Linked DNA regions of Saccharomyces cerevisiae S288C. Changing the gene in region 1 together with any one later gene gives a genetic interaction. Each region holds a gene or a part of one and is shown in the gene's direction. Other genes may lie near its edges.

Region 1 (4,005 bases):
ACCTGCATTGCTGGCCACACTCCAAATTTTACAATTCCAAACCATGTGATGCTTGTCAGAGGGGCAGTGAAAATCTATGTACCCACGCCGGTTTTGTAGGACTAGGTGTGATCAGTGGTGGCTTTGCTGAACAAGTCGTAGTCTCTCAACATCACATTATCCCGGTTCCAAAGGAAATTCCTCTAGATGTGGCTGCTTTAGTTGAGCCTCTTTCTGTCACCTGGCATGCTGTTAAGATTTCTGGTTTCAAAAAAGGCAGTTCAGCCTTGGTTCTTGGTGCAGGTCCCATTGGGTTGTGTACCATTTTGGTACTTAAGGGAATGGGGGCTAGTAAAATTGTAGTGTCTGAAATTGCAGAGAGAAGAATAGAAATGGCCAAGAAACTGGGCGTTGAGGTGTTCAATCCCTCCAAGCACGGTCATAAATCTATAGAGATACTACGTGGTTTGACCAAGAGCCATGATGGGTTTGATTACAGTTATGATTGTTCTGGTATTCAAGTTACTTTCGAAACCTCTTTGAAGGCATTAACATTCAAGGGGACAGCCACCAACATTGCAGTTTGGGGTCCAAAACCTGTCCCATTCCAACCAATGGATGTGACTCTCCAAGAGAAAGTTATGACTGGTTCGATCGGCTATGTTGTCGAAGACTTCGAAGAAGTTGTTCGTGCCATCCACAACGGAGACATCGCCATGGAAGATTGTAAGCAACTAATCACTGGTAAGCAAAGGATTGAGGACGGTTGGGAAAAGGGATTCCAAGAGTTGATGGATCACAAGGAATCCAACGTTAAGATTCTATTGACGCCTAACAATCACGGTGAAATGAAGTAATGACAAAATAATATTTGGGGCCCCTCGCGGCTCATTTGTAGTATCTAAGATTATGTATTTTCTTTTATAATATTTGTTGTTATGAAACAGACAGAAGTAAGTTTCTGCGACTATATTATTTTTTTTTTTCTTCTTTTTTTTTCCTTTATTCAACTTGGCGATGAGCTGAAAATTTTTTTGGTTAAGGACCCTTTAGAAGTATTGAATGTGGGAACAAAGACGACAAAAGGTAGTTTTTTCCTTGACTATACTGGTAAGATATCGTCTAAAACAAAGCATGGCCAAGAAAATATCAAAGAATTCAAGAGCTGCTAGACAATCGGATGCTCTTGAACCAGAGGTAAAGGATTTAAGTGAACTACCTAGAGCTGAAAAAACCGATTTGACTAATATTTTGATTAGAACAGCAGCCAAGAATGAGGCATTGCTGGAAGCAAAGATATCTAAGAAAGCCAATAAAAGTAAGAGGGGCAAGAAGTTAAATAAAAAGGCTCTGGAAGACAAACTGGCCAACTCTATTTCATCCATGGACAGGGATCGTTTAGTGAAGGCCTTGAATTTTACCAATCGTCTGGACGGTAAAATTGCCAAGTCCATTTCTCGTGCCAAGTACATTCAAAATACAAGAAAGGCTGGCTGGGATAGCACCAATGAGACTATAAAAAAAGAGCTGGCTTTTTTGAACGGAGGGTTGTCTGTGCAGGCAAAAAGTGCTAGTGAAGGTAATGCTGAAAAGGAAGATGAGGAGATCCCAGAAGTTTTTGACTCTTTAGCAGAGGATAACACAGTGCAGAAGACTCCTACAAATAGATTCGGTGTCCTGCCAGACGATGTTGAAGAATAGAAAATTTTCATATGAAAGGTCCTAGGAATACACGATTCTTGTACGCATTCTTCTTTTTTCTATCTTCTTTCATTCTTTGTACATTAGATAACATGGTTTTAGCTTAGTTTTATTTTATTTTTTATATATCTGGATGTATACTATTATTGAAAAACTTCATTAATAGTTACAACTTTTTCAATATCAAGTTGATTAAGAAAAAGAAAATTATTATGGGTTAGCTGAAAACCGTGTGATGCATGTCGTTTAAGGATTGTGTAAAAAAGTGAACGGCAACGCATTTCTAATATAGATAACGGCCACACAAAGTAGTACTATGAAATTTTCTGCGTATTTATGGTGGCTGTTTTTGAATCTAGCGTTGGTGAAAGGCACTTCATTGCTATCCAACGTTACATTAGCGGAAGATTCTTTCTGGGAGCATTTTCAGGCTTACACTAATACAAAGCATTTAAACCAAGAGTGGATCACAAGTGAAGCCGTCAACAATGAAGGCTCTAAAATATATGGTGCACAATGGCGACTATCACAGGGTCGATTGCAAGGATCCGCATGGGATAAAGGAATCGCAGTTCGAACAGGCAATGCCGCAGCTATGATAGGACATCTCTTGGAGACACCTATTAATGTTTCAGAAACGGATACCTTGGTTGTCCAGTACGAAATTAAGTTGGACAATTCTTTGACGTGCGGCGGTGCGTTTATTAAGTTAATGTCTGGTTTCATGAATGTTGAAGCATTAAAACACTATGCACCCGATACAGAGGGTGTCGAGTTAGTTTTTGGTCCGGATTATTGTGCTCCTGAAATAAATGGCGTGCAATTTGCCATCAATAAGGTTGACAAGATCACACATGAATCTAAACTAAGATATTTGCAAGAGATGCCCCTGTCAAAATTAACTGATACCTCGCAATCTCATCTGTATACGCTCATAATAGATGAATCAGCGCAGTCTTTTCAAATTCTTATAGACGGTAAGACGGTTATGGTAAGAGAACATATCGAAGACAAGAAAAAGGTCAATTTTGAGCCACCCATTACACCGCCTTTAATGATTCCTGATGTTTCAGTAGCGAAACCGCATGATTGGGATGATCGCATCCGAATCCCAGATCCTGAGGCGGTGAAGCTCAGTGATCGGGATGAACGAGACCCATTGATGATTCCACATCCAGATGGCACTGAACCACCAGAATGGAACAGCTCCATCCCCGAATACATTCTTGACCCAAATGCTCAAAAGCCCTCGTGGTGGAAGGAACTTGAGCACGGGGAATGGATACCGCCCATGATTAAAAATCCTCTTTGCACTGCAGAACGTGGTTGTGGCCAGCAGATACCAGGGCTGATAAATAATGCCAAGTACAAAGGTCCAGGCGAACTCAATGAAATCATAAATCCCAATTACATGGGGGAATGGCATCCACCGGAAATTGAAAACCCGCTATACTACGAAGAGCAGCACCCATTGCGCATCGAAAACGTTATCAGTGGTGTGATCCTCGAGTTTTGGAGTGGATCTCCAAACATGTTGATAAGCAACATTTATGTTGGTAAAAATGTAACAGAGGCGCAAATTATTGGGAATAAGACTTGGCTGATGAGAGACCGCGCGTTTAGAGGCTCCGATGGCCCCACAGAACGCAAATTCATGAATAGCAGACTAGGAAATCTACAAACAACTTTCCATAACGAAAGAGAATCCCCTAATCCATTTGACCGCATTATAGATCGCATATTAGAGCAACCTCTGAAATTTGTGCTTACTGCGGCCGTCGTGCTCTTGACGACGTCGGTTCTTTGTTGTGTAGTATTTACATAGTGGACAAGTGTTAGTTTATAACATGGTCTCAATAATTGCACCACAACGGCTTCTCTTTTATAGATGGTTAACATTATAGTATCAATATTATCATCATGATTAAATGATGATGTATAATACTTACCCGATGTTAAATCTTATTTTTTCATGCAGTAAGTAATCATGCAACAAGAAAAACCCGTAATTAAGCGAACATAGAACAACTAGCATCCCCGATAAGACGGAATAGAATAGTAAAGATTGTGATTCATTGGCAGGTCCATTGTCGCATTACTAAATCATAGGCATGGAAATTTCCAGTTCACCATGGAACGACGGTGGATACAGCCCCTATGAGAGAAACAGAGTCGCTGTATCACCATTTTCATCAGCGTTGGAAGGCGAAGAACGAATAGAAACCTCTCGATCTTTGGGTGATCATTGCTTTGAACCTTTGCCATACGTGACGAATTATCTTTCTATTTTCGCGCTTTTTGGTAAAGAGATATTTGGTGACAAGG
Region 2 (4,856 bases), on another chromosome or scaffold:
GATTGGTTCCAAAATCGTCACATTATGTGGAGATGCTCCAGAGGGCAAAAGGTACGACGTTGCTAAGGAATATGTACAGGGAATTCTAAATGGTGCTAAGCATAAGGTTCTGTCCAAGGACGAATTCTTTGCCTTTCAAAAAGAGTCCTTGAAGTCCGCAAACGTTAAGAAGGAAATACTGGACGAATTTGATGAAAATCACAAGCACCCAATTAGATTTGGGGACTTTGGTGGTCAGTATGTCCCAGAAGCTCTTCATGCATGTCTAAGAGAGTTGGAAAAGGGTTTTGATGAAGCTGTCGCCGATCCCACATTCTGGGAAGACTTCAAATCCTTGTATTCTTATATTGGCCGTCCTTCTTCACTACACAAAGCTGAGAGATTAACTGAGCATTGTCAAGGTGCTCAAATCTGGTTGAAGAGAGAAGATCTTAACCACACGGGATCTCACAAGATCAACAATGCTTTAGCACAAGTTCTTCTAGCTAAAAGATTAGGCAAGAAGAACGTTATTGCTGAAACCGGTGCTGGTCAACACGGTGTTGCCACTGCCACTGCATGTGCTAAATTTGGCTTAACCTGTACTGTGTTCATGGGTGCAGAAGATGTTCGTCGCCAAGCTTTAAACGTCTTCAGAATGAGAATTCTCGGTGCTAAAGTAATTGCTGTTACTAATGGTACAAAGACTCTAAGAGACGCTACTTCAGAGGCATTCAGATTTTGGGTTACTAACTTGAAAACTACTTACTACGTCGTCGGTTCTGCCATTGGTCCTCACCCATATCCAACTTTGGTTAGAACTTTCCAAAGTGTCATTGGTAAAGAAACCAAGGAACAGTTTGCTGCCATGAACAATGGTAAATTACCTGACGCAGTTGTTGCATGTGTTGGGGGTGGTTCCAACTCTACAGGTATGTTTTCACCATTCGAGCATGATACTTCCGTTAAGTTATTGGGTGTGGAAGCCGGTGGTGATGGTGTAGATACAAAGTTCCACTCTGCTACTCTAACTGCCGGTAGACCTGGTGTCTTCCATGGTGTCAAGACTTATGTCTTGCAAGATAGTGATGGTCAAGTCCATGATACTCATTCTGTTTCTGCTGGGTTAGACTACCCAGGTGTCGGTCCAGAATTGGCATATTGGAAATCTACTGGCCGTGCTCAATTCATTGCAGCTACTGACGCTCAGGCTCTGCTTGGCTTTAAATTATTATCTCAATTAGAAGGTATTATTCCCGCTTTGGAATCTTCTCATGCTGTTTATGGCGCTTGCGAATTGGCTAAGACGATGAAGCCTGATCAACATTTGGTTATCAATATTTCTGGTAGAGGTGATAAAGATGTCCAAAGTGTCGCTGAAGTCTTGCCGAAATTAGGTCCAAAGATAGGTTGGGATTTGAGATTCGAAGAAGACCCATCTGCCTAATGAGTAATATCTGATAAGGAACGCTTTTATTTAGCTTTTTAACTACATAGACGAATATAATATACGATCGGGATACATTAGCATATTCAGCTCTTTTACCTCTCAATTTGCTCAAGATTAGTATCGTGACCAATTTTAGATCATTTCGGTCAGAACAGCCACATTTTCGCGTAATTTAAAAGTTCAATTATTGTATGCGTGACACACTATATTAGCGTCAACTGTTAATAAGGAAGTAGTGGATAATAACGGTTCAGGTTGCTTCACAATGCTTATTTCAAAATCTAAGATGTTTAAAACATTTTGGATACTAACCAGCATAGTTCTCCTGGCATCTGCCACCGTTGATATTAGTAAACTACAAGAATTCGAAGAATATCAAAAGTTCACGAATGAATCTTTACTGTGGGCACCGTATAGATCCAATTGTTACTTTGGTATGAGGCCCAGATATGTCCATGAAAGTCCACTAATTATGGGTATCATGTGGTTCAACAGTTTGAGTCAGGATGGCTTACATTCGTTAAGACATTTTGCAACGCCTCAGGATAAATTGCAAAAGTATGGTTGGGAAGTGTATGATCCAAGAATTGGTGGTAAAGAAGTTTTTATTGATGAAAAAAATAACTTGAACTTGACTGTTTATTTTGTAAAGAGCAAGAACGGGGAAAATTGGTCAGTGAGAGTTCAAGGTGAGCCTTTGGATCCCAAGAGACCATCTACAGCATCTGTCGTATTGTACTTTAGTCAAAATGGTGGCGAGATAGATGGAAAATCTTCCTTAGCAATGATAGGTCATGACGGCCCTAATGACATGAAATTCTTCGGATATTCTAAAGAATTAGGCGAGTATCATCTTACAGTAAAGGACAATTTTGGTCACTACTTCAAAAATCCGGAATATGAAACCATGGAAGTAGCACCAGGAAGTGACTGCTCTAAAACAAGTCATTTATCACTTCAAATCCCGGATAAAGAAGTTTGGAAGGCTCGTGATGTTTTCCAATCTCTAGTTAGCGATTCGATACGTGATATACTGGAAAAGGAAGAGACAAAGCAGCGTCCTGCTGATTTAATACCAAGTGTTTTAACTATTAGAAATTTGTACAATTTTAATCCTGGTAATTTTCATTATATACAAAAGACATTTGATTTGACCAAAAAAGATGGGTTCCAATTTGATATCACTTACAATAAACTTGGCACTACTCAAAGTATTTCCACCAGGGAACAAGTTACGGAGTTGATTACTTGGTCACTAAATGAGATAAACGCGCGTTTTGATAAGCAGTTTAGTTTTGGAGAAGGTCCCGACTCAATTGAAAGCGTGGAGGTCAAAAGAAGATTTGCTTTAGAGACGCTATCAAACCTATTAGGAGGAATCGGTTATTTCTATGGGAATCAACTAATTGATCGTGAAACAGAATTTGATGAGAGCCAGTTTACAGAGATCAAACTGCTGAATGCAAAAGAGGAAGGTCCATTTGAACTGTTTACCAGCGTTCCGAGCCGTGGCTTTTTCCCACGTGGATTCTATTGGGATGAAGGTTTCCATCTTCTACAAATTATGGAGTATGATTTTGACCTTGCCTTTGAAATCTTAGCGAGCTGGTTTGAAATGATCGAAGATGATAGTGGTTGGATTGCTAGAGAAATTATACTGGGTAATGAGGCAAGGAGTAAAGTTCCGCAGGAATTTCAGGTGCAAAATCCCAATATTGCTAATCCGCCAACTTTATTGCTAGCATTTAGTGAAATGCTTTCTAGGGCCATTGAAAACATCGGCGATTTCAACAGTGACAGCTACCACCAAGTCATGTTCAATAGTAGGACAGCCAAGTTTATGACGAACAATCTAGAAGCCAATCCTGGCTTGCTAACCGAATATGCCAAGAAAATTTATCCTAAGCTATTGAAGCACTATAATTGGTTCAGAAAATCTCAAACAGGACTTATTGATGAATATGAGGAAATATTGGAAGATGAAGGAATATGGGATAAGATTCATAAGAACGAAGTTTATAGATGGGTTGGGCGTACCTTCACTCATTGTTTGCCAAGCGGTATGGATGACTATCCTAGAGCACAACCACCAGATGTAGCAGAATTGAACGTAGACGCATTAGCATGGGTGGGCGTTATGACAAGATCCATGAAGCAAATTGCTCACGTGTTGAAGTTAACACAGGACGAGCAAAGATATGCACAAATTGAGCAAGAGGTGGTCGAGAATCTGGATTTGTTACACTGGAGTGAAAATGACAATTGCTACTGTGATATTAGCATCGATCCAGAAGACGATGAGATTAGGGAGTTTGTATGTCATGAGGGTTACGTCTCCGTATTGCCCTTTGCATTGAAGCTAATCCCCAAAAACTCACCCAAGCTAGAGAAAGTAGTTGCTTTGATGAGTGACCCAGAAAAAATCTTTTCAGACTACGGGCTGTTATCACTATCGAGACAAGACGACTATTTCGGCAAGGATGAAAACTATTGGAGAGGCCCAATTTGGATGAATATTAATTACTTGTGTCTTGACGCAATGAGATACTACTACCCAGAGGTGATTCTCGACGTGGCTGGTGAGGCTAGCAATGCCAAGAAACTGTACCAAAGTTTAAAGATTAATCTCAGTAACAACATATACAAAGTTTGGGAAGAACAAGGTTATTGTTATGAAAATTACAGTCCGATAGATGGTCATGGTACTGGTGCTGAGCATTTCACAGGCTGGACAGCACTTGTTGTCAACATCCTTGGACGCTTCTGAATCTATGTAGATATTTTCAGTCATATAAACAGATATGTAACCAGATATGTACCAGTATGCAGGATGAAAATTATAAATGTTCCAGCTATTCGAAAAGGGCCTCGCATCTCTTAGTTAGAGCCAGCATTTTCAGCTTTTTTTTTCTCGCGTTTATTTACATTTCGATGCGGCTGTGAGAAAAAGTTAAAAAATCGTGGAAACCAGCAACTGGTAACTAGCAGTCTGGGCCATTGCAGCTAAAAGCCAGACAAATAAACAATCGAAAACACACTCGAAACATGCATTATGAAATGTCACATTTTTTTTTTTCTTTTGGGGATTAATGGTTGCGAAGTGAGGTCTTTTCTATTTACTGCGGTAAGATGAATAAAAGTTAGGGAATGTTATTGTTTACAAGCTGGATACTAGATCTCAAAATGTTAAAGTGTAAGGACTGACAACAAAATATGCTGCACCGAAAACAAATTAAGAATCTGAGGAGGGACTATTTAAGTGGAAAGAAAATTGAAGTTCAATGATCGTGTTTTCCTTCTGCTTATCCAAATACACTGTTATATATTAAGGCAACAGTACTATAATCGTCAGTTACGCAACAAAGACAGTCCACTCTTTTAGAAGAATAAGCCTTTACTGACATACCTCCACTGTAATAAATCTATT
Region 3 (3,852 bases), on another chromosome or scaffold:
AGATTTACGGGCTATAAAAGTAAAACTGTAGATGATATTTCCGAAGATTCAGGCCATGATTCAAAGAAAGCGAGGTTTTGGAACGTCTTCTTTGCAGAACTATTTCTACCTTTCTGTGTGTTCCTCTTCAACTTCACCGCTTTTTCTTTCATTAATGCACAAACAGGGGTCTCTGACTCAACACCAACTAGCGCTGTTTTCCGTTTGTTGCTCGTAACTTTTTTGCCAATCTTTCTTAACTCAATAGTGCTTTTTCTATTATTTTGGGTTTCACTTTTTGTGGTTCCTGGATTGTCATATTGTTGTAAAGACGCAGGTGCCGTGATTGCGTTTATTGCACACACTTTCTCGGTTTTGGTCTATCTTTTAGATTTCGAACTGATGTGGTTCTTACAAGGTTGGAACTTTACCCGTACATTGATACTGCTTATTACGTGCATCAATATGCATCTGATTCTTTTCAAGGTCTTTACGACGATATTCTTGACAAGGGAGTATAAAAACAATAAGGCACATTTGGCATGGTGGAATGGTAAATGGTACAATACGGGCATGGGCTGGTCTATCATTTTACAGCCCATACGAGAATACTTCGTGAAGATTATGGAATCTAGTTATTTTGCAGCAGATTTCTTTCTTGGTCACTTCCTCTTATTTATACAAACGCCCATAATATTGTTACCATTTATCGATTACTGGCATACAATGGTGCTATTTTGGATGAATCCAAGAAGTATTATCGCGCATAAAAGAATTTTGACTCGAAAGCAGAGAGCATTAAGAAGTAGGATAGTTTCAAAATATTTCTCTCTATATTTTGTGATGCTAGGTGTGCTCCTTTTTATGCTCATCGCGCCATTCTTTGCTGGTGATTTCGTATCTAGTCCGCAAGAATTGCTGGAAGGCACCCTTTTCGAAGGAATCTTCCAACCTAACAACCAAAACAACAACGATACTGGTCCAAATGCTCCATCGACAATCCTGACTACAACACCAACTTTACCTACCTTTAGGACTGTCGCATAGGGATAAAAAAAAAAAGTTATTTTGAGTAGCTGATAAAGCGAGCTGGTGCCTATCATAGCCGGCTCAGACTTTTTATGAATTCACAGGCCAGCCCTGGCTATTCTTTTGCGTACTTTTAGTTCGATATATTTTCGCGGCTCGCGTTTTGTTTGCTTCTTATTTTACACTGAGTTTTCGTGCCGCAAACGTGGAGATGGGAAAAAGAAAAGTCGGGAAAATAATGAGAAATTTCTACTTTTGGTATTCCTCATACAGCCTGCGCGGTTTATTAGTAAAATACCCGATAATCCTCGAGGTTTGAAAAACTTTTCCCTCTACTACTGTTGACACGGATTTTTTTATTTAAGAGGAAAAGTCGTGGTTGTTTTCCTCGAACAAATTAGATATCCATAAATAGTTGTGTCGTTTTATTAAGCTATTTCAAAATCAGTTTTTATTTTTAAAGTCTGATAAAACAAAAACAACAAACACAGCTAAATCTCAACAATGTTGTTTAAATCCCTTTCAAAGTTAGCAACCGCTGCTGCTTTTTTTGCTGGCGTCGCAACTGCGGACGATGTTCCAGCGATTGAAGTTGTTGGTAATAAGTTTTTCTACTCCAACAACGGTAGTCAGTTCTACATAAGAGGTGTTGCTTATCAGGCTGATACCGCTAATGAAACTAGCGGATCTACTGTCAACGATCCTTTGGCCAATTATGAGAGTTGTTCCAGAGATATTCCATACCTCAAAAAATTGAACACAAATGTTATCCGTGTCTACGCTATCAATACCACTCTAGATCACTCCGAATGTATGAAGGCTTTGAATGATGCTGACATCTATGTCATCGCTGATTTAGCAGCTCCAGCCACCTCTATCAATAGAGACGATCCAACTTGGACTGTTGACTTGTTCAACAGCTACAAAACCGTTGTTGACACTTTTGCTAATTACACCAACGTTTTGGGTTTCTTCGCCGGTAATGAAGTTACTAACAATTACACCAACACAGATGCATCTGCTTTCGTGAAGGCAGCTATTAGAGACGTCAGACAATACATCAGCGACAAGAACTACAGAAAAATTCCAGTTGGCTACTCTTCCAATGATGACGAAGATACCAGAGTTAAGATGACTGATTATTTCGCTTGTGGTGATGATGATGTTAAGGCTGATTTTTACGGTATTAATATGTATGAATGGTGTGGTAAATCTGACTTCAAAACTTCTGGTTATGCTGATAGAACTGCAGAATTCAAAAACTTATCTATTCCTGTTTTCTTCTCTGAATACGGTTGTAACGAAGTAACACCAAGACTATTTACTGAGGTTGAAGCCTTGTACGGTTCTAATATGACAGATGTCTGGTCTGGTGGTATCGTATACATGTACTTCGAAGAGACTAACAAATACGGTTTAGTTAGCATCGATGGTAATGATGTTAAAACTTTGGATGACTTCAACAACTATTCTTCTGAAATCAACAAAATATCACCAACTTCCGCCAACACAAAGTCTTACAGTGCAACAACAAGTGATGTTGCTTGTCCAGCTACTGGTAAGTACTGGTCCGCTGCAACAGAATTACCACCAACTCCAAACGGAGGCTTGTGTTCATGTATGAATGCAGCCAATAGTTGTGTTGTTTCCGATGACGTTGATTCTGATGATTACGAAACCTTATTTAACTGGATCTGTAATGAAGTCGACTGTAGCGGTATTTCAGCAAACGGTACCGCCGGTAAGTATGGTGCTTACTCTTTCTGTACACCAAAGGAACAGCTATCTTTCGTTATGAATTTGTACTACGAGAAGAGTGGTGGTAGCAAATCTGACTGTAGCTTCAGCGGTTCTGCCACTCTACAAACTGCCACCACGCAAGCTAGTTGCTCCTCCGCTTTGAAAGAGATTGGTAGTATGGGTACCAACTCTGCATCAGGTAGTGTTGATTTGGGTTCCGGAACTGAATCCAGTACTGCCTCTTCTAACGCTTCGGGGTCTTCTTCCAAGTCTAACTCCGGCTCTTCTGGTTCTTCCAGTTCTTCTTCTTCTTCTTCAGCTTCATCTTCATCTTCTAGCAAGAAGAATGCTGCCACCAACGTTAAAGCTAACTTAGCACAAGTGGTCTTTACCTCCATCATTTCCTTATCCATTGCCGCTGGTGTCGGTTTTGCTTTGGTTTAAAAAGCTTCGACACATACATAATAACTCGATAAGGTATGGTATCTTATTTCATTGTGGGGTAGTTTTTACGAAAAAAATGAAAAGTTGTAAGTATAGTATATATTTTTTTTCTATGTAAGTTTTATAAGATTCTATTCGCTATTACCACCGGTAAATTAAAAAGAACACTATTGTTACATTATATGTTTTTAAATCATCAAAAAAGACAATATTCATTTAATATTCCTTATAGAACTACTTAACATTGTTCTTCTTTCTATTAAACGTCTTTATGCAAACCATTTATGTACTTTCTCCATAATATCAGCTGGATATCTATTGAAAATTGCCATAGCATCACTAGAAGGCAAAAATCCCAACAACTTTTTAACTGAACTTATCACCGTTTGGCCTTCCCTTTCGGTCAAACTTCTCTCATTCAAGGCTTGTATGACTGAATCAACTACAGCGGAGATATTAGATTGAGCACACACAATTGGCGAATTATTTTCAATCAATTGACTCAAAAATTGATAGTTGAATGAGGCAGCTTCTTTGTCAGTTATTGTTGGTAACGTTTTGAACCAATTAGCCGTGTACGTGTCTACGTTAGGAATGTTGGAATTGTATGCATAAAGAATTTTGGCGATGGCTGCACTGGCATTCTCTGTTGAAGAACGA

Evidence for each region. Genes that interact genetically often act in the same process or in processes that back each other up.
Region 2: mutations in CNE1 (region 1) and CWH41 together harm fitness more than expected from each alone (negative genetic interaction), as found in Saccharomyces cerevisiae (5 studies listed by BioGRID, with this or other methods).
Region 3: mutations in CNE1 (region 1) and GAS1 together harm fitness more than expected from each alone (negative genetic interaction), as found in Saccharomyces cerevisiae (5 studies listed by BioGRID).

What each region holds. Positions count from the first base shown.
Region 1 is NC_001133.9:35,468-39,472, forward strand, and holds CNE1 (calnexin), read left to right. Parts: upstream 1-1,996; coding exon 1,997-3,505; downstream 3,506-4,005. Other genes in the region: BDH1 ((R,R)-butanediol dehydrogenase), read left to right, coding at 1-836; ECM1 (Ecm1p), read left to right, coding at 1,042-1,680; GPB2 (Gpb2p), read left to right, coding at 3,792-4,005. UniProt on the Saccharomyces cerevisiae protein: Interacts with newly synthesized monoglucosylated glycoproteins in the endoplasmic reticulum. It may act in assisting protein assembly and/or in the retention within the ER of unassembled protein subunits.
Region 2 is NC_001139.9:442,982-447,837, reverse strand, and holds CWH41 (mannosyl-oligosaccharide glucosidase), read left to right. Parts: upstream 1-1,694; coding exon 1,695-4,196; downstream 4,197-4,856. Other genes in the region: tryptophan synthase TRP5, read left to right, coding at 1-1,426. UniProt on the Saccharomyces cerevisiae protein: Cleaves the distal alpha 1,2-linked glucose residue from the Glc(3)Man(9)GlcNAc(2) oligosaccharide precursor highly specifically. Seems to play a role in beta-1,6-glucan synthesis.
Region 3 is NC_001145.3:885,491-889,342, forward strand, and holds GAS1 (1,3-beta-glucanosyltransferase GAS1), read left to right. Parts: upstream 1-1,512; coding exon 1,513-3,192; downstream 3,193-3,852. Other genes in the region: FKS3 (putative 1,3-beta-D-glucan synthase), read left to right, coding at 1-1,026; importin PSE1, read right to left, coding at 3,462-3,852.